Linked DNA regions of Oreochromis niloticus. The protein of the gene in region 1 binds, or shares a complex with, the protein of each later gene. Links are inferred from orthologs where the notes say so. Each region holds a gene or a part of one and is shown in the gene's direction. Other genes may lie near its edges. The genes, in order: rgmb, gdf5 and bmp2b.

Region 1 (9,916 bases):
CTGTGCGCTCTTCTTACCTTTACCACACATCTATGAGTCAGGAATCAGGTGTGTGGAGGTTTTGTGTGTGTGCTTTGGTGGCTGGCACAGAGAATGAGAAGGGCACGGTTTGTTACAATGCTGCGTACGGTGAAGTGGTGGAATGTGATTAAGTCCAATTTTGGGCTACTTGTTCATTCTTTTGTTTTTACATAATGCTGGCTGGCTGTATTTCACCCTGTTTTCACTGCATTATTTGATCATTTCACTGTGTGACACTGTTTTATTTTTTAAAATAAAAAAGTGTGATGCCCTCACACAAATTATAATACACTTGATCCTGCTTCCACATTTGACTTTATAATTGCCTCCTAACCCCTTCAAAACATATAAATATTCCAACTCGTTTAAAATACTATTCAGTTTTTCTAAACTGGGTGGGTGGCTTTGACTCAGACTGTAGCGCAGATCAACCATTAGTTAGAAGGTTGGTGGTTGCTCCCCTCTGCATGCCAACGTGTCCTTGGACAAGATACTAAGCCTCGAGTTGCCCCGGATACATTAGCCAGCCTATGATCTCATGTTTGTATGTCAGATTTAAACTTAAATTGTATGTAGATGATATGTTGAATTTATACATGCAAGTACTTTATACATGCAAGTTTCATCATTCTAATGCTGCAATGTGACGTATGTGTTTCAAGATAAAGTGCACAGCAACACCCTGCAGGTAAAGCACACGGTTACTTTGGTTTATGAGACTGCACTTTACCAATTTCTAAAACAGCTTAAAAAATAGGCGATAATACATTTATAATATACAGCTGTATTTGTGTGTGTGCTGAAAACATGAGATTCTCACTATAAACTGTTGAGATTTAGTTTAATTTTACATTGATGGCTTTAAAAAATGCACAAGTGTGGGAGTAATTTGATATTGTGCCTTTGATGCGTTTGCAACAACGCGAGCTGTCAAGACTTACACACTCTGGCACACTCACACATGCACACACAGGTGTGTTATGGTGAGTGGTGTGAGCTGTTGAATGATAGGCTGTTTGCAGTAGAGAGGTTTAGGGGAGGTAGAGGTGGAGGTGGAGAAAGACAGAAGTGGAGATGGGAGGCAGAGGTGTGGAGGTGAAGACAAGCTGGAAGTTTGGAAACAGATGGCCTTTGTATGTAACACATGCATTCATGCACGTGTGTGTGAATGCATGTGTTACTGGACAAAGTGTGCGTGTGTGTTTGGAGGGGGGTGAGTTAATTTCGGTGTGCTCTGATCTCTGGTCTCAGCTGTGGTGTAATTGATTAAATGAATTAGTACAGAATATAGAATTAATGTTCATGAATAGGATCATGTGTTTTGTGTGTCTGTGTGTGTGTGTGTGTGTGCGTGTGTGTGTGTGTATGTGAGGACCAAAAATTGGTATGCTACTATACTAGTGGGGACCAAATCCTGCTCCTCATTAATTTAAAGGCAATTTTGAGGTTCAAAATGTGATTTGAAGTATTATATCGAGTCCATTTCTGCAAGATTTGAAAATCTTGTGTGTGTGTGTGTGTGTGTGTGTGTGTGTGTGTGTGTGTGTGTGTGCGTATGGCAGATGGGTCATTAGAATGAAATATGAAATTAGTCTTGATGAAAAGCACCAGATATGCGCACGTGTAATTGAATTAACCAGTCTGTGCTCCGTGTGTCAGCATAAATGAAATGTTCACCTTGCGTGCTTCATCCTGCTGAGAGGTGCATCACAGACAGACTGGCCAGTCAGGAGGCTGTTCTACTGTCAAAAACACTGCTTGCTTAATTTCTGTCATAATAGGTATCCAGGATGTACAGCTGGGTGGGAAATTAGAGTTAAATAACATTATGGGTCTTAGCAGGATGTTGGACCAGTAGGAGCCCTAAAACAGCTTTAGCCAGGCTCTGCTGGCAGGATGAACACCAGTCTTCCAAAAGAATTCACCTCATTTGATGTTTTGATGGTAACAAGGAGCGCTGTCTAATGTACCAATGTATATATGGGCTATAGATGTTTTTTAGTTTTAAAATAATTTTCAAGGAATTATTTATTTATATATTATAGCCAGCAATTTAACAGCTAACTTAAATAAATCTAAATCTAATGTGTTATATTATGTGAGTCATTTTTATTCTTGAAAGTAACTATTTAGGATTTGTACAGTGGTGTGCAGTGGTTAGGGCAGTTGCCTCACAGTAAGAAGGTCCTTGGTTCAAATCTGCAGGCTGGGGTCCGTCTTTAGGAAGTTTGCATGTTCTTCCAATGCCCGAGTGGATTCTCCCTGAATACTCTAGCTTCTGATAAAAGATGTATGTTTGCTTAACTAGTGTTTCTCCGTTAGCCCTGTGACAGACTGTGACGTCACGCTATGACACTTTTGATGAGGCCAACTGCAACCCTGAAACAGATAAGCAGAAGAAAGTGGGTGGATGGTGGAAAAGTGTTGTTTGTTTCTGAAGTATAGTGGAGTAGAGGTATAAAATAGCATCACAATAGCAATACTTGAATTACCATAAAGTACCTTAAAACACTACCACTAATAAATGTCAATGTCAGTAATCATGAAACCATGTGATAACACCTCCTGCTCAAAAGTCTCTGTTTGACACTGCTATATCACAGGGATCTTGTGGTAATGCTAAAGTTCACTGCTGATCTGCGTCCACTTGTCCCCTAAGAGGTAAGGTTCGATACAAATCAAATACAAATCGATACTTATCTTATGATGTAATATGTCTCTCCTGGTAAGAGTGGTCTCTTTCATAGTGACAATGACCCCATCCACCAGACATGAGGGGGGTCACTAAACGATTTGATGATGATGAAAATCAAGCCAATTAAATGCTGTTTATGTATTGCACTCATCACATCTCATTCGAAATGAGCACCTATGGGATATTTTAGACTAGCACTCTCAACCACCATCATCAAAAAATCAAATGAGAAAATATCATTTGGAAGTTTAGAGACTGAGAAATGTATGACTTCTGGGCTCAACTCCAAGGTGAATTCAAGCTTTTCTTCTTACACTTTACATTGTTTTTTCCTCTTTAATTTTTTCTTCAAATATGCATGCACATACTACACATACATGCATATGCGTTTGTGTAGTATGCCAAAATTAGTTAAAAAGTATGAACATACACATACTGCAAAACAATATGTTACAAGATCTCCTGAGTCATCACAGACGGCCTTCCTCAGCAGCAGCATGCACGTTATAAAAATCAGACACACATTATCTGCCCTGACCACACTCACTGTAAAATCTTCATCACTTACGTGTTTAGTTTAGAGACGCATTCAGAGTGGCCGTGACTGAATCCGAGTCATGCTGCAGCTGCTCTGACACACAGCACATAAAGTAGCCACAGAGCAGTGTTATTTGATGAATGCTTGCTTATGCTCACATCCATATAAACAGGTTACAGCCAGGGTTGTAGAGTTTGGCAGAACGTAATAGATAATGGAAGATTACAGCAGTAAGCCCTGCACGTACGGACAGAGAAAAAACAGGGTAGATTTGCAGACTTAGTAAAAAATTATCTAACTGTAGATGCTTCGGTGCTTGCTTTGAAATTTACCCAACTGTAAACTTTACGTGAAAAAGCAGGCTTGGCTCAGTTTCAATTTTTTTTCTTTTTTGTTGCTATTAAAGATCTTAAATCCACAACCTTCAGAAAGTTATTCATTCATGAATTACAGCTGGAACAATAAAGATAGCAAGGTACAAGTTACTTTGCATATATTTAGTGGCTGTCATTATCTCTGGGAGGCTGTTTACACTCCCTCCTGAACTTTCGGCAGTTTTGTTCTTTTTACTTTACAGCATTATGATGGTTTCGGTGTGAACATGTCTGGACGGTGTGTTACAGACATCATCTCGACATTGTGTTTAGTTCTGTGTCTGTCAACATATTTTTTATTTTTGCCAATACAGTCAGGAAGGATACAAACCTATTAAATGAAATTTAATGTATGCTACATGTTTTTCCATTCAGTTTGTTTAATTCCTAGGAAGCACAAAATAAAAACTCAAGCATGGACTAAGCCACTGTGTCAGTGAATACAGACTGAATAACAGCACACAAAATATCCAACTAATTTCACAGATTAATTAATTATTAATTACAATACTGTGCAAAGGTCTCGAGTCTTTAGTTTTTGTGTAATTTGGCATACCTCAGCCTTTTTCCCTCTGTTTCCCTTTCTTAAGAATAGCTTCTTGACAGCCACCCTTCCACCGAAACCATTTCTGATGAGACTTAAGCAAACAGTAGATGGATGGAGTGCAGGGTCAGACGCATCTGTCAGGTCCTGTATCAGGTCTTTGCTGGATTTGTTCCTATTTCTTAAGGACATGACTTTAGATACTTTTCGTCTGCTGAAGATAGTTATTAAGGTCTTTCGCTTGTGCAGTTTCATTAAAATATCCCCAAATTTAAGGACACACAGCACATCATGTCAACTAAAGAAATTAAAACAAATGCTGTGTTTTTGAAACAGACTGCTAGTTACCAAGTGTCTAAAGTTACAGTTTAAGTGTAGACACAACACTGGTGTTGGATACCAGTTTATGCTTGAATGATTCATAGGTCAGTGTTAAGTTGCTTAACAAACAAACAAACAAATGATCAAGTATAAGGACTAGAGTGAAAATGAGTGAAAAAGCAGCTAATGTCCAAAACAAATAAAAACTGTGAAGGATCTGTAGAATGCCTGGAGAAGCATTGCTCAAGAGCTCTTTATAAAAAATCACAAGAAAGCAAAATATGAAGAAAGACTTTTGCACAACACTGTATATCCCTGAGTTTAATAAGTGGATTTATATGATTTATGATTTCTATCATAGCCATGGGGAACACATGGAGTAGGCTGGATATGCCTTATGAGTTTAAGAGGTATCCTTTTGGAGTATTTCGAGTGTAATATGGTTAATTTTTAAACATTTATTTGATGTGGGATTTGAGACACAACAGATATACAAAATAAAAGATTCTTTAAGATTTCTGACACATCTTTAAAGGATGTCTGGCCTTTTTTCCTCCTAGGGAACTCGTTTGCACTCACCTGTATTTGTACAAACTGTAGAAGTACTAAGAATGATAGGAATCCTATCAGTACTAAAATAGAAAATATGATTTTATTGTTACTCTCGAGAGGCTTGGGTAGTGGGCAATATTCTTTTATTCCTCTCTAACAAACGGAGTCTTGATTATGTCACATCATATCTTAAAATATGATTTATTTACTTGTTAATGAATGCCATTATAATTACACCTTGTAAAATCCGTTAACATTTCCACAGCTATTACATAGCCTCCCTTCTCACATAACCGAATACTTACATTTTATGTTTCTTTCGGTTTCTTGCAAATGCGGAGAGTGAAAGGAAACTGCTGCAAGGAAGGAAAAGGTTAAAAGTCAAGCAAACTGCTTTGACGTTGTTTTCTTGACGTCACTAATTGTTTGCTTATTTTTGCAACTTGTTTGCATTAGTATTTCTATTTCTTTTACATTTTAAACGTGAGTCAAGATTTTTTTTCTTAATACGATTTTTGTTCATGGTCAAATGTTCGACGTCCTTTTTGTATTATGTTCTAATGTTCTTGCTGATCGTGCTCATAGTTAATTAAATAAATCAATAAGCTCATGATTACTTTAGTTTATACAGTGCTGCTTTACCTAGACTTCACAACTTTTATCAAATTTGTATTTATTTATTTTTGTCCCATTTGATTGACTCTCTCTCTCTCTCTCTATCAGTGTGGTATAGGCGGGTTTTCCGCCAGCAGGGTTTGGTTGATTCTCTATTGATTTGCTGGGGTGGGAGAGGAGGAGGAGGAGAAAGTGAAATGGGAGGAGAGCAGGAGAAACCTCCGCCTGGCCAGTGAGGGAGGGAGGGATATGATTGTGCGTGTTTGGGACGAGAGAGGAGAGTGATCGTAATCAAGGCAAAAGTCCGGCTTGCAGCGGGAGCGCACTCCAATCACGTGGGGTTTGGATTTTTATAGGAGAGAAAAAAGTAAAAGTGTCGACGAAGTGACTTCTGGTTGTACTTTGTATTGTTTTTTTCCTCTCTGTGCCTTTCCACCTCCCCCTCCGCCCTGCATTCCGTGGAGCAGCTGTGTTTTAATGCCCCTGCGCACCCGAGGAGGAGAGGAAGGAGAGAAGAGTGAAGAAGAAGAGGCAGAAGAAGTAGTGAGAAGGCCTGGACACCACCCGTCCTCGTCCTCTGGAGGTCTGTCCACTCTCCCCTCCTGGCCCTGCATGGACGGGGATGGGGAGAGCCGGATGCTGTTGCCGCGGGGCTGAGCGCCTCACCTCCCCGTCTATGGTGCGCCGCTTCCGGCCGCTTCTACTGCTGATCATCGCGCTGTGCTGCGGTGCTCACATAGGTAACTAATCACACTTGCAACACTGCAACACCCAGAATCTCTTTGGGTCACAGTAGCAACTGAGCTGTAATTTATCTACTTTCACATTCAGTGATGAACTAATTACTGCTGACTCCATCAGCTATAACCATAGTAACAACATTTCTTTTCAGTCGCTATCACTTGATGGTGATTGAAACACTTTGTTAGTTATTAAGCGTCTGTAATCACTGTGTGGTTGATCCTTGTGTTGGGCCCAGTGCTGCCTGACAATGGCTCTCTCTAAAGCGGCAGTGCAGCAGTCTGAGCACGGATCGAGTTTCTCCTCTCTCCTGGGCCGTCATTCTCCTGTCTGCCTCTTAATGGCTCATGGAGGAGGGGGAGAGAAGGCAGGAGAGAGCTACCTCTCCTCTTGTCCATATAAACCAATTCTTTTAGTGCGCTCATTTACAGAAAAAAAAGCAAACAAACAAAACAAAACAATCTATTCCACCGCTGCACATCATAAAATATAAAAAGAAGTTGTGCTGTGATTTAAATCTGGCCAAACCTAAATAAACAGTTAATGTTGAGCTGATGCTGATTAATAACGTCTATTGTAAGAAACGGGATCAGATAATCGAATTTAAGAACATATTCTTGAATGTCCGACATATTTCTCTTTATATTTGTGGATGTTTATCTTTTAAAACCCCTACAATGATCCAAGGCTTGTTAGAAACCCCCCCCAAAACAAACAATGAATTTAATAAATGAAGAGCCTGCTAACTGGATGTTAACAAGGTGTCTGCAAAGATTTCTGACACTAAAATCAAATGTGACAGTTTTGACATACTTCTGTTTTCTGTGGCTTTGCAGAGGTCTTACTTCTTTTTTGTGACACTGTTTGCTGGTCATTTTCTGTCTTGTAAAGATGCAGAAGCATTTTACATTTGGTGCAAAAAGGCAGCAAAAAAAAAAAAAAAAAATCAAATCTGGCTGAGTCTGAGTGTTTTTGTCTGTGCAGGGGGTCGGCTGTCTGTAGAGCAATCACACCTCCAGTAATTAGTTTAACACAGCGCAGGCAGTCGGACAAAACGGGAACACAGAGAGAGACCCACTTCACATTAAAGACCCTCTTGGCACCTATGCTGCACGTGCGTCACCTGGAAAGAATGTGTGTGGTTTTTTTTTGTTCTTTTTTTAGTTTGTCGAGCCAAACAGAATGTTTTATTTGTTAAAACTTGTACATGTTTTGGGGTATGTAGATATATTTCTTTGTTGTCAGCCCCATGTGTCTGTTTAGGCAGGGAGGAAGGAGTGTCTGAATTGTTGACTATTGTTCACAGTGTCTGGCCGACGACGAGAGAGAGTGCACGCTGGAGTGAGCTCCTGTAAAGCTTTGCAGCTTAAAGCTATAGAAAGGGTGTTTGTGTGATTTGAGCTCGGCTTGTGAGAGAGTGCACACAACAAGGTGATCAATAAGCACTTCTGGAGCTATTCCCTTGGTTGAGAAATGATCCCAGTAGATCCTTTCCTGATCTCCAGAGATCAAAGGAGTTGAAGGCAGCGAGATTGGGAGGCAAAAAAAAAAAAAAAATGCTAAACCGAGCCATTGAGATTCAGCTGGTTGATCTTATGACCTCTGTCTGATGGTAGAGAAGGTGCCTCAGGAAGAGAGGCAGTAAGGAGGTGAGGCTGGCCAGGGAATGAGGCTGAGGGGGCTGAAAGCAGAATAGTGCTGAAGGAGGCGAGTGATTGAAGCTACAAAGGAAAAAAAAAGAGAGAAAACTGAAGATATGAGAGAGAAGAAGATTCGAGTCCTGTGGGATTATATTGAATGCGAGGAAGACAGAGGATAAGGAGCTATGTTGAAGGCAATTTTAAACACACGAGGAGTTGTGTATTCTCCTCTTAATAGTATCTGCCAGCCACCGGAGTATTCATCACCTCGACTTTACTTGACAAAAAATATGCTAATTTAGAAAGACTGTTTACAAAGGAGATCACATGGATGTTTTAGGTAGCAAATAAGAAAATTGTGCTTTAGTATGTAATGTGTAAATATTACAAACGTTATTAAGCAAATCGTAGTTTTTATTTCAGAGAGGTCAGAGTGCAGGGTCAGCATGGGAGCGACACAGTGGTGTAAACTTCAACAGAAGCTTTCCGTCAGTAAGGTTTTGCAAGTCGATGCTTTAATGCCAGATCCCTGCAGTCAGAGGGTCAGCTTGCTTCTCGCTAAGTTATCCTTCTGAGAAAATATTAGTGAATAAGTGCTTTTAGTGCAGCAGCTCATGATCCCGATAACTTCTGAAAGAGAACAAACTGCTCTGATTAGATTGGGAGTCGCATTTGGGTACTGCAGGCTAGATTGGAGGGAAAGAAGGAGGCTGTTGGTGCACCAGTCAAAGACACAATGTGTCCTCAGTGCTCAGACCTGTCTGTGCAGCGGTGGTTGGCATAGGAGGCAGCCTATGTGTGTGCGTGTGTGTCTGTGGGTTGGTGTCAGTATTTAACAGTTAGGAGAAAGATTCTAAAGCGCGGTGTGAGTGAGGGTCCGTACCTGCACCCCAAATGGCAAAATTCAGAGCATTACTGCCCCCATTTGGTGGCATCACACTCCTTCATGCTCTAAAATCAGATAAATCGACAGAGAATAGCGGACGTGTGCTGCCAGCTGGTTAAGTGATGGAGTAACGTTTGAGTGATCGTTTCTGTAAAAACTCGTGCACTTTCGGCCTTTTCTTGGCCATTAAGAGACCATCATCTAAAGATCACCGACTTTGTGTGGTTAACGGAAGTACAAGCAGCATTCTTTCTAAGATAGCTATTGCTGTGTGTGTGTGTGTGTGTGTGTGTGTGTGTGTGTGTGTGTGTGTGTGTGTGCAGCTGCTCATACACTGCAGAGCCTCTCTCTCTCTGGCCTAATCTAATTGGAGCACGTTGTGACTGATGCATTAGGTCTGGTCTCTAATCTCTTTCTCGCTCTATCTTTCTCTCTCTCTCGCTCCGATGATCTATGATATAAAAGGCGACTTTGACCCTCGTTACATTTAGAAACGCAGAAATAGATAAAACATCAGGGAAATCTGTTTCTGATGGCTACACGAGGTGCATTTTTGATTATGTTTTTCCTCTGCAGAAGCCACCCAGGATCACTAACACAATTATTCAGCACCTTGCTGACGAAGATTATTAGCTTCAAAAAGTCACTGTGTTGTGTTTGTATTCACAGCACAGCTGCTTTGCCCTGCTCTCTTTGTCTATAATGTTCTATATGCTGTGTGCTCCTTGGCTGTATGGGCACTTTTATCTCACTGCTTGTGGTAAAACATGCTTCGTCTTCCCTCTCTCCGGTTGCTCTTTGGTTTATTACACTTCAGGTTTATTACGCTCACAGAGCGGCACTGATGATTGATCCAGACTTTCAATCAACAGCTGGTTCTTTTTCTAGTTTTATTAGGTTTTTATTAGACTGTAAAAGACTCATATCATTGCGTGCTTAAAATCAAAGCTTTCTTCACACGTAACCTTGGTAGTCTTGTGCGATTGCAC
Region 2 (10,405 bases), on another chromosome or scaffold:
TTGAGCATCTATTCATGTAAAATCAGTCACATCCGTTCCCGCCTGACCTTCTTGGAAACAGCTGATCGTTTGCTTATATAATGAAGCCCTAAAATATTTGTGTTCATGTGATGAAACTTTTCTGACACACAAGCTGTTGAAGAAAACACTGAGTGAAACTTTTACATGTTTCAATTCATTTTTCCTGAAATCTGCATGGCAGCTTTTTTCACTCCATCAAAGATAAAAAAGGATTTTTCTTTGCCAGATCGGCGATATTACTGCAGCCGCAACAGCAGTGCAGCTAATTAAAACCGCAGGGTATGATGTAACAGGAGCCTCTTCGTGCGCTGTAACCTGTTTTGGTAACGTGAGCCTTGAAAGTTTACCCAGAATGCACTTTTTGAAGTTTTTTCCACGGAATGATCAGAAAAAAGATCAAACATCCGGAGTATCGATGCTTGTTTCTGCTCCTTCGCGTCACAGACATTAAACGTGTCCCACGATGCAGCTGGTTATGGAGAAAGTCGTGCTGAACAAAAACAGATCTTGGCCTCAGACTGTGACACTTGGAGTTGTGTGAAATTCTTTTGGCTGTAGTTTTAAACAGATCCGAAATGTGAATTTTAGCCCAGAAAATTTCACATGGATGTGTGCGGTGCCGAATACTGGAAAAGACCGAGTTGAGTCAAAAAGGCTGTGAAGGGGTGTAACCATTCAACCCTTTACCACAGGTGGAGCTTCACCCAACTTTTGTAGATGATCTGAAGGATCCTGCAGAGAACCAGAATGATAATTACAGGAACTGTGAAATAATGTGAAGGCGACCTGAGCGAGGACTTCAGGAACACGTTGACATATTTACTGACAGTTGGAGCGGTCCCATCCTTTGGCCTGTTGGTCTGGAGCTGATGGAGTCCCAGGGTGTGATGCTCACCGACTCCAAACGCTTGCAGTTTGTTATAAAATCATGACTTATGACAGACTGTTGATATGAGCGTCAGGATAAATCCCTCGCTGTGTCTTTGACATTCGCCAGAATAAAAAGCAGCGAGGCAGCTCTTCGCCTCGGAGCAGCTCAGGCGTACTGGAAACGGTTGTTTGTCAGTTGGCTCGAATCAGACTCCATGTGCACTTGATGTCCTTGGTTTTGGCTCTGGCCTGGGATCCTCGTTGCATGTCTCAGACTCAGAAATGTCAACAACTTATCTTTCAGAATGAAATGTTCCCCGCGTCCTGCATGCCACACGAGCCAGACCTGCCAAAGGAAAACCACATTTTCTCCAAACTGTGTCCCAATCTGCTGCGCTCAACGTTTTCTGGAGTGAGACCGGTGGGTCCAGAGCAGGAATCCGAGGTCCGGGGATCAGTTTACATTTCACGCTCAAACGCACACCCACGATTCCTCCGATACAGGAAGTGCCCTCAAATATACACAGGCTATAAAAAGTGTTCACACCCCCGCAGTGTCCATCGGGTTTATTTCTGTAACACATTCAATAACAGCGGAACGCCTTCCTGAAAGTGCATTACAAGAAACAAGGAAGACTTTAAAGTAACACACGAAAGTTAAAACTTCACAAAAACATAATATGAAATGAGCCAAAATGAAAGGTGGAAACACGGTGCTACATTTTGATTAGTGCAGGAATTCCTCTCAGCGAGTGAGAGAGCTGTAGACGTGCACACGTAGAGTCCTGGTAAAAGAAAGTACACCCCGTTCATTTCTACGGTTTACATATCAGAAATGCAGACGCATGAGTGAAGTCCACTTTTACTGCTTCCACTGGGATTCAACTAACAGCCAGGCGCTGCTAATCAAATGCACTTGATTAACTGATCATCACTGAGTGTGAGCACCCCAATCAAAGCAGAAGTTTTGGCAGTTTTCCGGTCTGCAGCACTCAAGCTTGTGTTAACGAAGTGGACGTCTCAGCCAGACTGTGCAACGCTCAAGGAAGCTACAAACAACCACAAACGCTCCATCTCAGACTCTACAGGCTTCAGTTAGCATGTTAAACTTTGTAAGAGCACAATTAGATAAAGACTGAATAAGTGTGGCTTGTTTGGAAGCCCTGTGGCCTCTTCTTTCTATAAAGAGCAAGTTTGGCTGCATCCGAACGAACCGCAAGACGTCTGGAACGATGTCTTGTGGACAGGAGAGAACAAAGTGGTGGTGTTTGCCCATCGTGGACAGCAGCACAGTCGGACAAACCAAAACACAGCATATCAGCACAAACACCTCATACCAACTGTCAGCTCAGCGGCGGAGGGCTGGGGATGCAGGCTCATTTTGCAGCCATAGGACGTGGGCAGCTTGCAGTTATCGAGTCGACCGTGAACTCCTCTGTAAACCAAAGTATTCTAGAGTCAAATGTGAGGTCGTCTGTCTGGCAACTAAAGCTCAGACCAAACTGGGTCAACAACAGGACGATGATCCAGAGCGCAGAAGCAAATCTCTGACAGGAAGCTGCTGCAACGGTCAGGTCAAAGTCAGACCTCAACCCGACCGAAGTGCTGTGAGATGTGCATAAATGAATCCACACAAACCTCAATGAACTGTGAAGAAGAGTGAGCCAAAATTTTACCACAATGACATGAACGACCCATAAAGTCACACAGAAAACCATTACTGTAGCACTTTCACACACTGTTGTAATATTCATTCCATTCACTTCAATTTTATTCACTTAGCACCAAATCAGTCGCCTCATGTGCTCCACTGTGCGCCGTGAAAACACACTGGTCAGTAATTAATGACGTTCAGTTGTGATGTGGTTTTAAGGCACTGTCACCTGGAGTCAGGTGTGAATGTGCAACAGCGCAATCTGTTACCGGTCACATCCAGTCGAGCCGATCCCAACAGTATCATCCGATCACTCCTGTCCTTCTGTCATGGCCTCAGGTGGGCAGAAAAGCAGCTGAGGTCAGAGAGAATAAAGAGAGGGAAAGACAAACACAGCACCAGAACCAGAACCAGCTCCAGTTACAAACCACCAGAGACCAGCTCCACTGCCGGGAGCTCCGGGGTTGAACCCTGGCTGCTAATTATTCCTCGAGTTTGGTCAAAACTAAAGTTATGGCACCGAGCTGGAGCTGCTCGTGGCATCATAAATTAAACTGGCAAACAGTGTTAGAATCAGAACCGACCGCCTCGTCTCCCGGGAAGAGAAGGAGACCAAAACACTGTAAACATGGATGTGTGAAAACTCGAGGTTTTATAATCAGTCAAATATGAGACCCACAAGTGTGTTAACTGTAATTTAAACAGGATAATATACTAAAATTAAATAGATGTAATACATTAAAACTCTAATGCAGTACAGTCATTGATGGCTGCGTAGACTACGAGAAAAAATACACAAAGTGAGTTTAACAGTGTGCAAGAGGCAAACAGTAAAACAGAAAAACAAATACCCACAACACCAGTCAAGCTAAAAACACGACAGGTACTAACTGTGGCCAAAAACTACATATTCATTAATATTCAGGCAAAACATTTGCAGCCTGCAGGTCATATGAAATCACCTGAGGCCAATTCTTAAGATTTAGGTACAGTAACAAGTAGGGATGCAACGATACCAATTTTTTCAAACCGATCCGATACCGATACTTGGATCTGAGTACTTGCCGATACCGAGTACAAAAACCGATACTTCTGCCACACACAAGTTAAACTTAACCGGTAGTAAAGAAACGACCCCACACAACTCTTTAACACAAACGAAACGTTTACTGAACGTAAGGGCAGAGACAAATACTGTACAACACATCCCTTTTTTAAACTCAAATGATATTCCAATTCCTTAACCAAATGAAATACACTGTATAAATGAAATAATTCCCTTTCAAATTATATTAAACAACCCAACTTATGTTATCACCTTTTGGTAAGTGACTCACTAATATACACTCCAAAACACGGTATATAAATCCACTAAACATACAATATTCACACATGGGCCCCACACACACTCACATTCACACTTGTTGCAGGCCTGTTTGCTGCTCACGCCGGACGATGGAGAAAAATCCTCTTCTCCCCAGTAAGAGCACAAAAGTCTGACTTACAGTTCCGTTGCTCGGTAGGTCGCCGTTCACCAGTCCCACACTAAATCCACTCCCTGCGGACCCGATGCTGTCTCTGCTACAGCGCGTTAGCCAGTCACTGTCCAGCTCTCCGACAGTCCATAGCAGCTGCCTCCGTGGCGCAGCCAAGCAGTCCGGGCTAGCCTTTAGCCTCAGCGGTCATGGCTGAAAACACAGTTTTCCACGGACGGTGGTGCGACCGTTGAAACAAAAAGTCACTTCACCCACACTCTGTTGCGAAGCTCTCACACAGTTAGCTTTCTAGTCACACACTCTTTTGTGCAAGTTAACCTCAGTAAAACTAGCCGAGTCTCTCACTTTGGTTCAGCTAACCTCGTGCATCTCTCCATGCCGTTCTCTTCTGTGAACTGTGAACACCTTATGTGGCGTTCAAGTCCATGGGAATTATGAGTATCTACTACCAAATTCCCATCCGGGCTACATTAGTATCGGTTCATGGTATCGGTTGACTTTTACGAGTACGAGTACGCACACATTTTACAGTATCGGCACCGATACCCGATACCAGTATCGGGATCGGTGCATCCCTAGTAACAAGAATAAACTAATATACATATAAGCTACAGCGCTGCACACCAGGGGACACAACAGAAAGGCATTTCTGACATTAGCAGGGAGTTCAAATACCAGTATGCTATTAATTATTCCAGGAAAGATCACACTAGTCAGTATGCCAAAATTCCCAGGAGTGACAAAAAGGCCCATTCTGGTAAACATGACAGCCACAAAGCTCGGCACAGTGGAAGTGGACATTGTGGTGTCTCAGCAACGTCCTCGGCACGGGTTAATCCCATCCACTGTCCCATCAGTGGTTTTCCAGCCACACAGCCTGGACATCTGTTATGTTAAAGGAACTTGTTTTAAATTTCTGTACTTATAATAGCTTTAAACTTTCCAAAGTTACCGTCTGCTATGAAAAGAAGGAGAATAAATAACATTTATATCATGTTGTGAGAAGATATGAGCTGAACTTGAGTTAGAAGTCTGAAGATATTCCAGCAGTCTGTGAAAACGCTGCCTCCTGGTGGGGAAAGTTTCTAACAAAACACGGAGATGATAATTACAGTAAATGAATTACAGTCACGAAGGCCGGCTGACGACATGGTGACAGACATGTGGTCTCTTTTCTCTACCCGTAAACTCCTTCCGCTGGTTGCTGTGATGGTGCAGGGCATGCTGGGATAGGTGACACCGTTACAAGTTTTTGTGATGGTTTGCTTGCTTGTATAGTTTGTTTGTGTGGTCTATTTCCACAGTGCAGGGGGTGATGGTGGATGGAGCAGACCGTGGAGTCACCTGGTCCCAGACTTCTGAAGCTCTTCTTCCACATGACTCCACCAGCGCACAGCCTCAGTGCTCGTGGTTTTTGTTCATGTTCGTTTAAATAAATTTGATGTCATTGCTCTTCATCCCGTGTCTCACTCTTCTTTGATGGCTTCTAAACAAGTGTGAGATGCTGACAGATGACAGTAGTGACAGTGCGGTGTCCACTCAGGTGTACTGTGGCTGCTGGAAGAGAGAATAAAGGCTTTTTAAAGTAGGTTTACGTATGAGAAGCAAGTGTTTCGTGTTTTGCATCTATACCAGAGTATGCAGTGGGACAGAATGGCAGCTCACAGTGCTGAAAACATGAAAGGTGGATGTCCCAACAATGATGTCACCTATTTCAGTTTAGAAGATTGGAGTTTGGATTTTTTTTACCTTTATAGAAACTGTGAAGCATGGAATCATCCAGAGATGCTGCTGAGCGATATAAATATGTGTTAATGAGAACAAAGAGACACAAAGCACAAAAGTGCGCCTCATAATCTGTACTGCTGAAAAACACAACACAGATCAATCCGATGAGTGGAGATTTTCATTTCTGCGCTTTTTGGCTCGTTTCAGTGATGTAAACTTTTTCTTTACCCTCCTGAGTGTGAGTGTGTGTGTGTGTGTGTGTGTGGGGGGGGGGGGGTCCTTTCCGTGTTGCAGCTTCAGTGAGTCATTGGTGGAAAAGAGGGAGGAAGATTTGAGGAGAAATATCGCTGTTAAATGAGTTTGGGCAGCATGACATCACGCGGTAATTAAACCAGTTTTCTGGAATTCCGTTTCCAATTCCTGCGCTCAGGTTCGCTGGAGGAGTTTTTCGAGCACCTGCAGGTTGGTGTGTGAGTGAAATATTTTCACTGGACGGAGTTCAAACTCTGGAGAGAGAGAGAGAGAGGGAGGGAGGGCTGCGGCATTACGCCATTCTTCCCTCTGAGAGAAAAAAAAAGGGGGATTTAAAGAAGTTTCTTACAAGACTTCCAACAGAACAGTTCCGCGGAGTGTTTCTGCGCCTCTCAGCCCGGGCTTTGCGTTCTGCTGTGCCGGGCACATCTCTCCAGCACTATGCTCCTCACACATGCCGCGTGGGACAATAAAGCTGTGCGGGATTTGTTTCTTCGGCTTGTAGACGTCCGTTACAGTCTCTGCTTTCACCGCCTGGCACGTGTCTGTGCCGAGTTTCAGGCGGGGGCAGCAGCTTTCGTGCATTTCTCGTGAGGATGACCCACTCGGATTTACTGTTCTTTGCCGCTTCAGCTTCCTTGTGATCTCACTGCACTTCGCTACGATGACAGCCTGGCGGGAGGCGAACGCGCTTTAGGATGAAAGCCGTGACGCGTCTGTCTCTGCTGCTCAGCTGCTGGACTCTGGTTCACCTGCATCCCGGCCCCACGGCGCGTGTCCGCGCAGGTCCTCCGGTAATCAGAGGAGAGGCGTCCAGGACGATCAGCTCAGGGCGCACGGAGCCCGTGCGCTCCCGACTGCCCGGCGGGGATGCGTACGATAAGGCGCACGCTCCCGCTGCCATTAACGCACACGCACGAGCGGGTGGAGGAGGTGGAGGTTCATCGGGGAGAAGTTTGGGAAAAGTTGCGGCCGCGGCGGTGCGCACCTCGTCCCCGCAGAGAGCCCGCAGCGCGCCGGCTCCGGCGGCGCAGCGGGGGGCCGCGAGCCACAAACAGCCGCTCGTGACGCCGCACGACTACATGCTCGCGCTGTACTGGTCTCTCTCCAGCGGTGACGTCAACGGCAGCACGTTGCACGAGGCCGGCCTGGCCAACACCATCACGAGCTTCGTGGATAAAGGGCAAGGTAACCGCATCACCCACGAGCCTCTGTGCGTCCCGGGGAGTGCTCCCACGTTACTTTTCAGTCCCACGAAACAGAGTGACAGTGACACGCTGTTAGTGCAGGGATGGTGGCAGACACACACCCAGCTGAGCTGTGATGGGTGGGTGGGGGTCCACGCTGTGGGGGCAGCAGGACAGGTACTTGATGATGCATTTGTGCCCCTGGTACTCTGTGGGGATTAAAAAGCAGCTGGAGCAGAAGGTTAGAGGAGATCTGAGGAGCCAGAGGATGAGCAGAGGATAGGGGCTGTTAGCTGCTTTTAAAGTCTCACTTTAGAACCCACAGCAAGTTCAGACCTCACACCCACAATTCATTAACAATTAAAAAAGGGGGAGTATAAAAAGGATGCCACTGGAGCCTCAGGTCCCACAGAATGAGAGCTGCTTTAAGGGACTGGAGGCCAGTGTGGGGGGCACCAGAGGAGGGTGGTGCTGAGGGCACAGGCTGAGGATTGTCCCGTTAAAATCAGAAGGTCAGCAGTGAGTGGAGTACTATGGGAAGGAGCGTTCAACAAACTGGGGGTCAGATTCCCTTTCTGACAGCCAGTTAGCTTAGCTTAAAGAAACAGCTCCATCCAGAGCTAACAGGATGTGATTAGCCGAGAAGTTCGAGTGGACATAATTTTCTGCTATTAGTATATCTCCTCTTCCAGCAGTCACGTGATGTTTTAAATAGTGATTTCAGTCATCCAAAAGCTAAGGCTGCTCTAAACTCTCAGTTTTAGATTTTTTTTTTCTAGATTTGGATATGTGTGATGTCAGTAAGAGTAGATATCCTTATATGGTCCTCCCATCACAGAAGCCACACCCACCTGCTGTTTAATCCGTTTTTTGAGAATTGTAGCCAATCAGAAGCACTATTCTATTTTCCTTTATGACTTCCTTTATGTATGTATGTTTATGTAAAAGCTGACACTGACTCATTTAACCACCTTGTGGTACAAACTTGTATTACAGGAGAAAGACAGCTTGGCTTGAGTTAGACATAAGTTGATATCGCTTTAGCACAAACAGAGATGATGCCTTCATTTCATTTTGTTTTAAACTACTTTTAAACACAGAGATGTGAACGTGTTTGATTTGCATGAACAGAGGCCTGCAGGTGTATCACGACTACTTCCATCAAAACAAATTACAGCTTTTAATCTTTGCACATACACCTTTTTTTTAAAAAAATTAAATAGATCCCACTCTCTGGACTTCCAGATTCATGGAGGTGCTCTTCTGGGATTTTTTTGACAGAACCGGCTGAGCCAATAGATATGTTTCGTTTTCAGTTGTATTAAAGTGCTGCATAAAAAAACCTAAAGGACACGAGTGTAGATTTAATTTAGGCTGCACACATCATCGATGCTGGATTTGTGAAAACTAAAATAAAACTTGGGCTTTTTTTCTACAAACAGCTGGAAATAATTATTTAGCTCCTTTCACTCCTGTTCATTGAGGACTTTCTCACGAGCACCCTCCACTGCACACTTGAGTTTCAGCCAGTTTGGGATCGACAGGAAGTGAAATGGCTCTCTCAGATTGGCTTCAGTTTGGCTCAGGTCACCTCCGCAAATATAAAGTGGGCGGGGCTTATGGGCTTTACTGTAACCAGGCAGGAGGGGGTTACAGCTGTGATGGCAGCTATGTTTGTCTATATCTGGTACTTTAAGGTTTGGTGGGAGAAAACCAAACAGTGGGGATCAAGAGAGCGACTTTACATGTATGAAATTAGAAATGCATTCTAATAAGCATTTTTCTAAAGACCAATAACTAATTTAGTCTTGTGACAGCAGGTAGTGTAGCAGAGGAATAATTAGTGTTTGATGTCAAACTTTCAGCAGTTTTAACGTCTGGAACATGTCTGTGCACATATATGCACATATTTATGTATATTTATTCCTTTGCAGTTGTGAGTCTGTGTGTGTGTGTGTGCTGCCGTGTGTTTCTAACATCTGGTCGGCTCTCAGTGATATATACGGCCTCGTGAGGGTAAATAAACAGTGCTCACAGCCCCCCGTGTCATGTTGTCTTTACGATGTAAAACAGTTTTAGAAGCGTCTTTAAATGAGCGCAGTTTCATGTTCCTGCTGCTGCTGAAGGTTTACATTTCCACCACTTAATGTACTTTTAATGTGGCCTTTATTTGTTCAGCGAGTCGTTGCTGACTTCGTCCACATGCTGAGACGAGGAACTGATCGTTATTTACCTTCTATCCTTTCATTCACTCTTACTCTCTTCCTTTATTCTGCCTTTATTCCTCCGTTACTGCTGCCGCTCCTTCTTTCTTTCTTCCTGCCACATGCAAGGCTGAACCTACCTCCTGAGGGGCCCCAGAGCAATGTCTTGCTCTGGGCCCCCGATGATGCTGTGTGTGTGTGTGTGTGTGTGTGTGTGTGAAGCAGAGCAGCTAAAACCCTGATTAGTCGACTAAAAGTTGATCTGGCAGTGATTTTGATCATTACATTTTTTGAAGTAATTTTTCCCCTTATTAACCCACTCATTTGTTTACCTGTGTGAGGTTGTGGATCAAATGTTTGTTTTCCAATTTTTGGCAATTTGATAGTACAGCAGTGCAGTAAATAACCACTGCATGCAGGAACAGTAGTTAGCAGTGTTGTCTCACAGCTGTGTGGAGTTTGCATGTCGTCACTGTGTCTCTATGGGTTCACTCCGCTTCCTCCCACTGCCCAAAGTGTAGTTACTGGGGTTAGGTTAGTTGGTGCAAATAGTTAAATAGTCCATCTCTCTGTCTCAGCTCTGGTGACCAGCCTGGGATTAGGAGAGATTTGGACATTTTCCCCCAGAGTGGGAAATCCTCTTCACCTGGGCCGGTGCCAATATGTTAAAAAAGCTGAAGCCATGTGTGCGAGTGAGCGACACGCCATTCTCTGGGCAAAAGTAGGTTTATTAGTAGTTATATTACTTTCATAATTTAATGAGTGATGATCAGCCTGAAATGTCGAGTTTTTAATTTACAGATCACAAAACATTTGAATTTTAGAGTCTTTTTTTAAACTAAATATCTGTGTTTTAGAGCTTTATTTGAGCAGGTGACCCACATACTTTAAGGCTATTGCAGTAGTTGAATCCACCCCGGGTTATTTGCTGCATATCTTCCCCTGCGCTCCGTCCCTGCGTTCCTGTCCACTCTCCACTCACCTGCTTAGATA
Region 3 (9,969 bases), on another chromosome or scaffold:
CAGAAACAAGCATCATTTTAGATGGGGTTTAAAAGCAGTGTTACTCAGATGGATGCTTGCAAAGACTTACATGTTTAAAACCCAGAAGCAGCAGAGCTGAGAGATTAAAAAGCAATTTAATATTCCAACCAAATATTCCATTAGATCTACATAAACAACCTTTAATTGAAAGCATCTTGAAAGCATCATCTGCTGAAGATGCATGTTCCTTATTCCTCATCATGTATGGATACTAAGTGTTCCTTCCTTCTTTGGCCTGTAAACAGCTGCTTGTGCTTAAGCGGTAAAATGTAAATCTTGACGCTGGCTGTTTACGTAGCCCAAGCTTCTAATCATGCAGACATATAATTGAGTGACGCGTGGTGTCTTTATGAGTGGAGCTGCATTCAAAGGGCAGATCCCTGTATTTATGTCTTTCTGCCTCTCTCTTTAAAATCAAAGTAGCTGCAGTGCAGCTATACCAACTAGTTAACTAGCTAAATGTATTTAAAATGTTTATGTGATTCTTAATGTAAATTGTCACAGTGTGAGGTCAGTACAGAGCTAAATGTTTTACACTGCTGATACTGATTTTACAGCAGCAGTTTACCAGGCACGAAAAAGGACACTGCATGAAATTCAAAAGATGCATCTAATAACAAAATACATTATTTTTTAGACTTATGGTGGAGGATTTGAGTGTAAAAGTCTTTTTTTATTGTTGTTTTTTGACAAAAGCCAGCCCAAAGTGATTTCACAATACAATAATTATAATATCTAAAATAGCAACAACTTCTGTGGATGAAGGAGCAACCACGATTCGCTGATCAAAACTTCCTTGCACCCTATTTACACAGGAAATTAAATCACAAACAAATAAACACTCTGCCAATTTGCTAAATTACGCACAGCTTCTTGTGTGCGACCAACCTCAGCGTACTTCTCAATATTTGAACCATGCGAGCAAGGTTTGGACCCTCTCTTGTGATCTCTGAGAGGTCGTATAATCTGGAGGTGGACTTGTTGCTCAAATTAGTGGGTAGAGAAGCGTGCCACATGTTCAGTATCCATAAATATTGACTCTGGCTTTCTAGCTGGCCGTCTCTGACCTTGGTGGGTTTCCATTTTGGGACAAACCTATTTGAAATGTGTCCCATTTTGCCACAATCTCTTTCATGCACCATGTGCACGTGCTTAGCGTAGTGCAGCAGTCGTGCTTCTGCTGTCAAACACGTGGACTGATGAAGATATTACTGGTTTCTAAATTAAAAAGACGCCACTGCCTTGCAGTTGAATTAGGGATGAGTCACAACAACAAATTGTTTCCTGGTTTCAAACAACATCTCTGAAGATTATCTCCCTGGGGACACACATACAGTCTGTTAAAACTACATCTGGCTACATCAAGGCAGAGGAATGCAGGCCCTGTGTCTAGCCAAGCTACTGTTAACAGCAGGTGAAAGGCTAATAGTTAGATCTGCAGTGTCATCTCGGGGCTTTGTCTGCCCCCTTACTTGTGGAATGTGCGTGATGACAAGAGAAGGCTGCGCCGTCCACATCCACCATAACATGTGCAGACAGACACATCCATGGGACAACAAATGAGCATGTAAAGCACCGTACTGAGGACAATAAGCCATGTCTTCTTCTGATTTTTTTGACAGGATCTATGTGTTAAAACACCACTATCCTCATCTCTCTCAAATAACCTCAAACATTTCCCCTTCAATACATTCATTATGCTTTCTTTAAAAGTGCCATGTATTGTTCTGCCATAAGGGAGTTTCCATAAAAAAGATACATCTATTAGATGAAGCAAAAGTACATGGTGGTGGTTTACTGTATATTATGTTTTTGGTTAGAAAAGAAGATTTCCCCCCAAAGCTGAATGATGAATGGAGCATAACAATAAGAAATATGACTTTTAAATGATTACATAATGTATCATTTGTACATGTGTGGGTCTGAGTGTTTTATAACGCAAACCTGAACCTGCTATTTTTTCCAGTCTAACCTGAATTTTAGCTTTATGTTGCCTTCCGTTTGTCAAAGAAAGGCAGTAAATTTTCATATAGAATTTTGGGAAAAACAACTCTTAACTCAAAGAACGAAAAGATGTCACAAAGCAGGAACAAAGCGGTGATTGTGCGACAGTGTTTGTGAGTCTGGGAATTTTCAGTTGTGTTGATTCTAAGCACAGACTTAAGGCCTCAGGGGTCGGATCAGAGACTGGTCATATTAGTCCTCACGACTGGGACAAAAGGATTTCCAAGACCACCAGTTTAATCTGATAACAACAGTCTATAGCTAAATTGTTGTTATGAGGATGGACAGATGCTCCACAGCACTGTTTTTGACCTACCTGTAGGTCATTGCAGACTTAAAAAAAAAAATCAGGGAAATTTTGGTTGTGTCAGCTTGAAATTGTGTTTAATTGCTTTGTACCTGCAGACGCTAGAAATGTTAATTTCTAAAAAACCTTTTTTAACCTTGTTAACATGCCAATGTGATTGTTTTTATATGCTAGAAGGCACACCAGGGCACACCAGAGAGTGAGACAAAGACTGCAGTGTTGCAATGACAGGTTTTAAAGCATGGATTTAGAAAGCCAGGTTTCATGCATAACAAACCTAAAGCGACGACTTTACTCTGCTGTGGACATGGGCAGCTGGAGACACTGTGGACATGTAGTCATTGCTGTTGTACTTCTGCGAAGCCCATTGAAGTCCACCTTGCAATTACAGTTTACATAATACAAAGTTTCCAAAGATGAGTCCACAGTCACAAAAATGTACATCACTTAGACCCAAATCAACCCTCATGGACACAGATGTGCTAACACCCACATTAGGAACCAATCCCTCCAACTTACAGGCTGGGGACTAATAGAAGTGGCAACCTTATCTTTAATAACAGAATATGATTTGATAATGTAATCAGGTCCAACATACATAACGTCTATATAGGAGAGACTGTTTCATTTAGTTTAATTTTACAGCTAAAAGATTGCTATTAACTAATAACTGTCAATTGATTTTTTTTTCTGACTTTTTCTGACTGTTGACCTGCTGAACAGCACCTTCTCTTTATTCTGGACCTCCTGATTTACAGTTTAAGCAGCAGGTTTTCCTCAACTGCTTAACAACTGGACCTATGTTTTCCTTCATTTTGCAGGAGAACTTATGAGTGAAGCTCACAGATCCAGTGGAAAGAGGATGAGGGAGCAGGCATGGACCAATATTGATATGCATATTAAATTAGGGAAAGCCCTTTTTTGCATAAGGGTTTATATTCATTTAAAAAAAACTGCTTCTGAACATTTAATTGTGGTGAATCTACGTGAGTTCTTTTAATAAATAATATTATTTAATAAACTTTAATAAATGTCTGGAGAGGGACTTTTCCAAGATTTTACGTATTTTAAAGAAATAAAACATATATATTATGAAAGCATGGGGCTGAAGCTAAACATACATGTGGGAAACTCTGTACAGCTCACAGGCTTGTTTTTCCTTTTACTATAAGCAGCGGGACCAGCACAGCAGTGCATTTAGGTCTTTAAAACAGCAGAGAGCCATTTGAGCACATGTTGACCTTGAATTTGATTCCATAACTTTGAAAGAATATTTACTACAATCACAAATAAACAGATACTTGTTAGAAGAAATAAGCATGCCATTAGTGGTGGTTGTTGAGTTAATAGTGTCTGGCTAAGTCAAAGTTTAAGGCTCTCAGAGACTCTCTCAGTAGGTCGTTCATTTGAGTTTGAGATAGCATATCTCTACCCGCCCTCTCTGGCCATGAGGGTTTCATTCTGTGATGTTGTTCTTTCAATCAGCATGTAATTGGATCAGCAGCGATATGATAAGCAATGACATATACAGTGTCAGAGCCACAAGATCTTCTCAAACCACCCTGGGCATCACTGATCAAGTCCCTCAACAGCCTTGGCTTGGCACATTCCTCAGAACTGGCCTGACATAAGCTGAGCCAAAGGAAACACACTCACACAATTTATGCATGTCCATGCCTTCAAAACACACACAAACGTTGACATGATCATTTAGTGAAACCACAAAAATGCCTACAAAAAGAAAAAGACGGACAAATAATCAGATAAGGCCCTCTGTTTCTAATCCTGTCACTCGAGTAATTAAAGATGCTCACAGCTTGCTGTGGGAGGACTTATCCTGCAATCTACAGCAGCCTGAATGCAGCTTTTACCTGGATTTGGGTTTAGAGCACTAGGTTTACCAAGTGGTATTTTGGCAACAACAGAGACTCAATTGCCAGCAGATTAACATAACAATGGAGAAAATCTTTATGAATAAATGACCTGTAGTAGAACTAAAGTCCATGAAAAAGACTGCATCACAATCTGTCACCATTTGCTGATTCTGATGAATAAATACATTACCAAAACAATAATAAGATCCAAATAAGCTAAGTAGATTTCAAAGAAGCTAATTAGATTCAGCACCTTAAAAAAGTTAAACTCTGAAGTGCCTGGATGCAGCAAGGAAATGGAAAGGAAACACTGTAACTCAGACAGCAGCACACACTCATTGGCCTTACCATGTTTTAATTGCTAAGTGGATGATCCAGGATTATCCCTGATAAAATATTACTGTCCTAAAGGAAGACAAATATCTTGTGATCGCTGTGGGATTTAATCTCTCGCTATCTTGCGAAGAAGTCAGTATGCTTTGGCCCAAACACAGCCACCATTATCACCTAATGGATAAGAGCAGAGGAACTCAGTGGGGGCTGTTTTTTTTATGGAGATCACATAAACACCAATGCTACTGACTACAACCCCTCAGGCTAAAAACAAAGCAGCAAAATTTCCCTCACCCATCTGTGCTTTCAACGGCTACACAAAAGAACCAAGTACTTTTCCTAGAAAAGCCAAATCAACTGGTGCGCTAACATGCTTCGCTTAACCGGTCATCCTTTTTAAGATGCAATTTTGTGTGAACTCTAAATTATAAACTTAGTGAAAACATTACTGCCTTCTTGGGGAATTTTTCTTACAAGATTTTATCACTTGGCTCGTCTGCAGTACTGAAGAATAAGACAGCAATTCTTGCAGCCAAAGCTGCCACAGATATATTGATAAAGCGCTGCGAACTGGAAAGAAATGAAAAAGCCTAATGCAGCCAGCGGGGAGCGCGTGTACAAGTCACACATGCACAAACATTCACACAAAGTGAAGTTCAGCAGGAGAATGTGACAGTCACTTTGCAGCATCTAATCCTCTGAAACCACTAAAGCAACAAGTTATAAACCCATTATCTGTTAGACTTAATCCAAAAACTAAACATTTTTGATCCAGCCATTAACACCACTGGTCAAAAATGTGTCTATGTAACAGCAGGAGCTGACATGTTATTGCTCAGGGGTGGTCAAATTCACATGAGTATTAAACCATCTAGGGACTGTCAAAAGCCATTTTGATGCTACTAAAAAACATTTAAAAAGAACAATCTGGAAAAACAACAGCATGGTTTTAACTGCTCTTGACTTTATTATTTCTTCTGTCTCTTGTTTCGTTTTCATTTCAATGATGTATAATGAGCGTAGGTAGGGGAAAAAAAGGAGAGTTACATGTCCAAGCCTTTCAGTCATGAAAACGTTTGGAGCCTCAGGGGTAGAGGTCCGCAGGAGGTGCTTTATTGTGGACAAATGATTGACATCCCCTTGGTGACATCACTACGACAAAAAGAGCGCTGGGGGAAGAGAAGGCAACAATCAATTCAAACACTCCAGTGCGGCGCACAGAAGAGAGGCGACGCGCTCTCCAACTCGCAGCAAGAAGGTCCAAAAGAGCGACACTTTAAGGTCCGCTTATCGTGTTTCTCTCTCTCTCTCTCGCGGAAAAGTTCAGTTTTAGCAGAAGATAACTGTTCGCTGGTAAAGATGTTCAGAGAAGCTTCTTTATACTTAGATCGGTTATGCCTACGCGAAGCCGTTTCCTCGTAGAATTCACATAATTTTTTTTCCTTTCGGGACTGACCAAGACCTAACCCGATTCGCAGCTGGTGATAATATGTGTGAGAGGCGATCGGCGAAGGCTATGGGCTGTCTTTGGTCCCCCAAGGAGAAGCAACGTGGATTAAACACGAATTAATGTGGAATTTATCGGAGCCCAAAGGTGGAACGACGACCGGACACAGCGCTTTCTCGTCAGGTAAAATAAAAACTCACGGTTTTTTGATAAACGCTTAAAGTACTTAATTGGCGTAAATAAAAAAAAATGAAATGTTTGTACAATAACTTGCTACACGAGGAAAAGCTTACTTTCTAAGTGACCCCCCCCCTCCCTGCTAGTTCTTGGTTTATATGTGATTATAGGGTGTGTGCGTAAAAGTTAAAGCGTTCTCCTACACACGGAGAAAACTATGAAAAGAAGAAGAGGGGAAAAGGGTTGTTTCTTTGGAAGTCGTGCTGCTCAGATGATGCTTAGGTTTTTCATGTTTTTTTATGTCCTGTCCCGGGCTACATCTGGTACGCACGTCAGATCTAACACCTGCGAGCCTCTTGAAGTAACTCTATCCCTTATGATTACACACGACCGTCAAAGCCCCTGCAAACAGACGCTTGTAACACCGTCTGGTTGCATCTGTTGCTGCTGTGCATACTAACCCGTTTCCCTTCACTGTATTCTTTGATGCTTCTTGTGATCTGTCGGGCTACACAGACTTGCATTTCTTTTTTTCATACCACCTCCCGTAACGTGATTTCTTATCTCCTCTAATTGGAGACTTTTTGTCTGATCTCTATCCACAAATCCTTTGATTGTTTTTTCTGAGTCAGTCCCTCGTTTTTTTGTTCTTCTCTTTCAGAGCTTCCTCACCTTGATATTTTCATGTATCACTTCATGTTAAGACCAAACTTCTCTTTCAGCTTTGACGCGCTATATTGCCGGTGGGGGTCTCGCTCTCTCGCTCTCTCTCTCTCTTTTTACCCACTTCAAAGTGAAGCGTTGTCTTCCCTTTTAACCTGATTTCCTTCAATCGTTCCGACTGTGTAGGGGGATCACACACAGTTTAGGGAATGCTGCAGTGAGGTCCCTGCCGCGTCTACCTCATGTCAATACCTCAGCGCCAGTGTATTGACAGAAACCAACTTTCTCCACAGGGACTGACTGATCATGGTCGCCGTGGTCCGCTCTCTCATGGTACTGCTGCTCGCTCAGGTGTTGCTGGAAGGTGCTACGGGACTTATCCCCGAGGTCGGCCGGAGGAAATACAGCGAATCCGGGAAGCAGACCCCAGAGCAGTCAGAGAGCTTCCTCAACGACTTTGAGCTTCGGCTTCTCAATGTGTTTGGACTGGGGCGCAGGCCGACCCCGAGTAAGCAAGCCGTGGTGCCGCAGTATATGGTGGACCTTTACCGTATGCATTCAGCAAACGGAGACCATAGCACCAAACGACCCAAGAGCATGGGGAAACACGCAGAGAGAGCCGCCAGCAAGGCCAACACGATTAGAAGCTTTCACCATGAAGGTATGTATTAGTGACATACCTTTACCTGTCAGCCGGGAAGCTTCTCGGCTCTCTCAGACAACCCAAACCTATATTTAAACATGACTCAGTGCGTCAAGACTGAACTTCAGAGTCTTCGCTGTTTTATAGAGGTTTAGTCATTTACAGGTGACACGCGTCTAAGTTACAACTTACTTTTAAAAACGCTCGGGATTGCCTAAAACTCAGTAACGCGACTTACAAACAAGCATCTCGTACGCAATTAATTACCTCCCACAAATGTTGTGATGCAACATTTAACCGAACATCCCCCTGGGGCTGCTGTCAGAGGCTTTAAAACATCAAGAGGCGGTGGTATCCCTGGAGTAATTTGTTTCTTAATAATTGATGGTGTTTGCGTGGGCTCCGAAAACAGTTTTTCCAGACACGCACCACAGGAGCAGGATAAAGGGCGGTGTGCCTTTGCGCAGGTGATAGTCATCACCCTGTTACTTCAATAACACACGACATGACATTATACTAACACGCATTATGACAAAGTCATCGTGTCAGACTGAATTCTGAGTCATTTTTAACAAGGCTGAAATTAGTTTTTGGTTAAAAAAAAGGGGGGGGGGTACCCGCCTTATTCGTCTTTCCAAATCCCCGTTGAGCCCGTGCAGTGCGCCATTACGCATGTTCCAATAACACTATAATTGCTCACTTAGTTTGTACGGTGGATACGGTGCTGCTTGTTGAATTTGATGTTTCAGTTCAACTCCGTTGCACTTCAAAGATAACATATGCTGCTCATATATATAAGACTGGCACTAAAAGCCTCATACATCCTGGATAAGGTGCACTAAGTTCAACAACTACACAGATGTTCGCACAGTGTTACAAATAAAGTGGACTTTTATAACTTAAAAAAAAACAGCAGCTGAGAAAATAAAAATGATGGTTTACTTATATTCTATTGATCCGAGGCTATATTGTCTTTTGCACCTGGCTGTGATATTAAAATGACTCACGCATGATAAAAAGGAAACACTGCAGTGTTTACTGTCAAACATATAGTGATGCTTTATCACCATTCACCATCTTAGGGTCTATGTTCCATTTGTCAAAGCATACAAGTGACTGTGTCCATAGGGGCTCTACACAGAGTCCTCATACAGAGTTCTAAGTGTTTGACTGGGGAAGTTTCCATCAGGGGTGAGTCAGAGGGGTGGTTGAGTGGTTGCTTGGGTGCTCTCCAGAGGCCTAGTGCAATGACACCAAGTGGCTACACCGACACACTACAAACAACCCTGGCCTGGGCAGCCGGGCTGAGTGACTGCCCCCAGCCAGCTACTGGAAACCTCTGCCACCGGCCAACACACCTTGACACCACTGGCCATTACGAATGCGCTCAGGCTGTGTTTACATACGTCCCCCCAGCCCTTTCATCCCGTGCTAACAGAGCTGCTGGGCTGTTCGTCTTCCCACGTCAGGAGACACGCAATTGATGGCTGCTCCATATAATAAGCATGTATCTACAGATGTAAACGCAACACATCAAAGCAAACTGCTCTAATCATTCATCACATCTGCTGCCTGATATTCATTTCACTAGGATAATTAGTTTCACTGCTATCAGTTTTCAAAAATAACCATTTCCCATGCCAAATAGAACATTTCCACTACTACACAGGAAGTGGCTGCCAGAGACACGTCTCTGATGAATGACCCAACATTAGCCTTTATCTTATGTTTTGGCATGCAGCACAAAAAGAAATTAGGAATGTTGATACACTCATATCTGTGGTTCACACGTTTGTGACAGGCCCTGACTTGTTCACATAGCCAAACCTCAAAGAACAGAAAACGAGAGAGAGTGAGAATATTGTTGTAGAAAGAAATTGAGGAAGACGTGAAAGAGGAGGAGAGAGAAAGAAAAGAGGATTTGGGGCTAAGAGAACAGAGGGAAAGGGGGATTTGGGAGCTGAGGAACGAAAGAAAGAGAGGGATTGGGGACAGAGGAGGGGGAACAAGAGACAGGGGGCTTTCCCACATCAAATAAGGAGTGATGGGCCTAATTGAGGTCTTTGTGCCTCTGGAGGGAGATTTAGGATGAGATGGTGGAATTTCCTAAATGCCTCCTTTGAAAAAGCAAAGAGTTCAAAGTTTGTGTTTACGGCGCTGCACCAAACAGATTAAAAAGTGTGTCTATACATCATCTGTGATCTTCATAAAGTAAGAGTTCAAAGTGGGAGGGCTGCCTCAAAGAAAATTGTAGCTTTTACTAAGACTTCTGTCATTTACCGTACACTATAGAGGGGTATACAAAGATCTTAACTGTATACAGTTTATATATACTCTACTTTCCATTTGTCTTTTATTATCGTCACATTAATTGTAACTTAAGTCCTTGTAATTTCAGAATTAGTTATTAAATGTAATACCTTGACGCATAAAAGAAGTATTCCAGTGCTGGCAAAATCTACACTATAAATAAATGTTGATGCAACAGTTGGCCTTTCTA

Evidence for each region.
Region 2: the proteins of rgmb (region 1) and gdf5 are in contact, whole or in part, in a crystal structure (PDB 6Z3J), measured with the Homo sapiens proteins. The link is inferred for Oreochromis niloticus from reciprocal best matches to the Homo sapiens genes RGMB and GDF5. Residues at the interface, in NP_001353437.1 of Homo sapiens: Gln57, Thr60, Phe63, Val64, Thr67, Ser68, Leu70, Asn71, Tyr88, Leu103, Val104, Ser107, Ala108, Leu110, Gly111, Ile112, Asp114, Leu115, Gln118; in NP_000548.2 of Homo sapiens: Leu396, Arg399, Phe435, Pro436, Leu437, Arg438, Ser439, Asn445, Val448, Ile449, Leu452, Ser455, Met456.
Region 3: the proteins of rgmb (region 1) and bmp2b are in contact, whole or in part, in a crystal structure (PDB 4UI2), measured with the Homo sapiens proteins. The link is inferred for Oreochromis niloticus from reciprocal best matches to the Homo sapiens genes RGMB and BMP2. Residues at the interface, in NP_001353437.1 of Homo sapiens: Lys97, Arg100, Gly101, Leu103, His106, Ser107, Leu110; in NP_001191.1 of Homo sapiens: Val308, Gly309, Trp310, Trp313, Met371, Tyr373, Leu374, Asp375, Glu376, Tyr385, Met388.

Annotation. Positions count from the first base shown.
Region 1 is NC_031977.2:17,429,914-17,439,829, reverse strand, and holds the start of rgmb (repulsive guidance molecule B), read left to right. Parts: upstream 1-5,857; 5' UTR 5,858-6,282; coding exon 6,283-6,400; intron 6,401-9,916. UniProt on the Homo sapiens protein: Member of the repulsive guidance molecule (RGM) family that contributes to the patterning of the developing nervous system. Acts as a bone morphogenetic protein (BMP) coreceptor that potentiates BMP signaling. Promotes neuronal adhesion.
Region 2 is NC_031970.2:3,000,789-3,011,193, forward strand, and holds the start of gdf5 (growth/differentiation factor 5), read left to right. Parts: upstream 1-6,066; 5' UTR 6,067-6,719; coding exon 6,720-7,209; intron 7,210-10,405. UniProt on the Homo sapiens protein: Growth factor involved in bone and cartilage formation. During cartilage development regulates differentiation of chondrogenic tissue through two pathways.
Region 3 is NC_031980.2:4,166,941-4,176,909, reverse strand, and holds the start of bmp2b (bone morphogenetic protein 2b), read left to right. Parts: upstream 1-5,615; 5' UTR 5,616-5,820; exon of another isoform or gene 5,821-6,169; intron 6,170-7,119; 5' UTR 7,120-7,132; coding exon 7,133-7,487; intron 7,488-9,969. UniProt on the Homo sapiens protein: Growth factor of the TGF-beta superfamily that plays essential roles in many developmental processes, including cardiogenesis, neurogenesis, and osteogenesis. Induces cartilage and bone formation.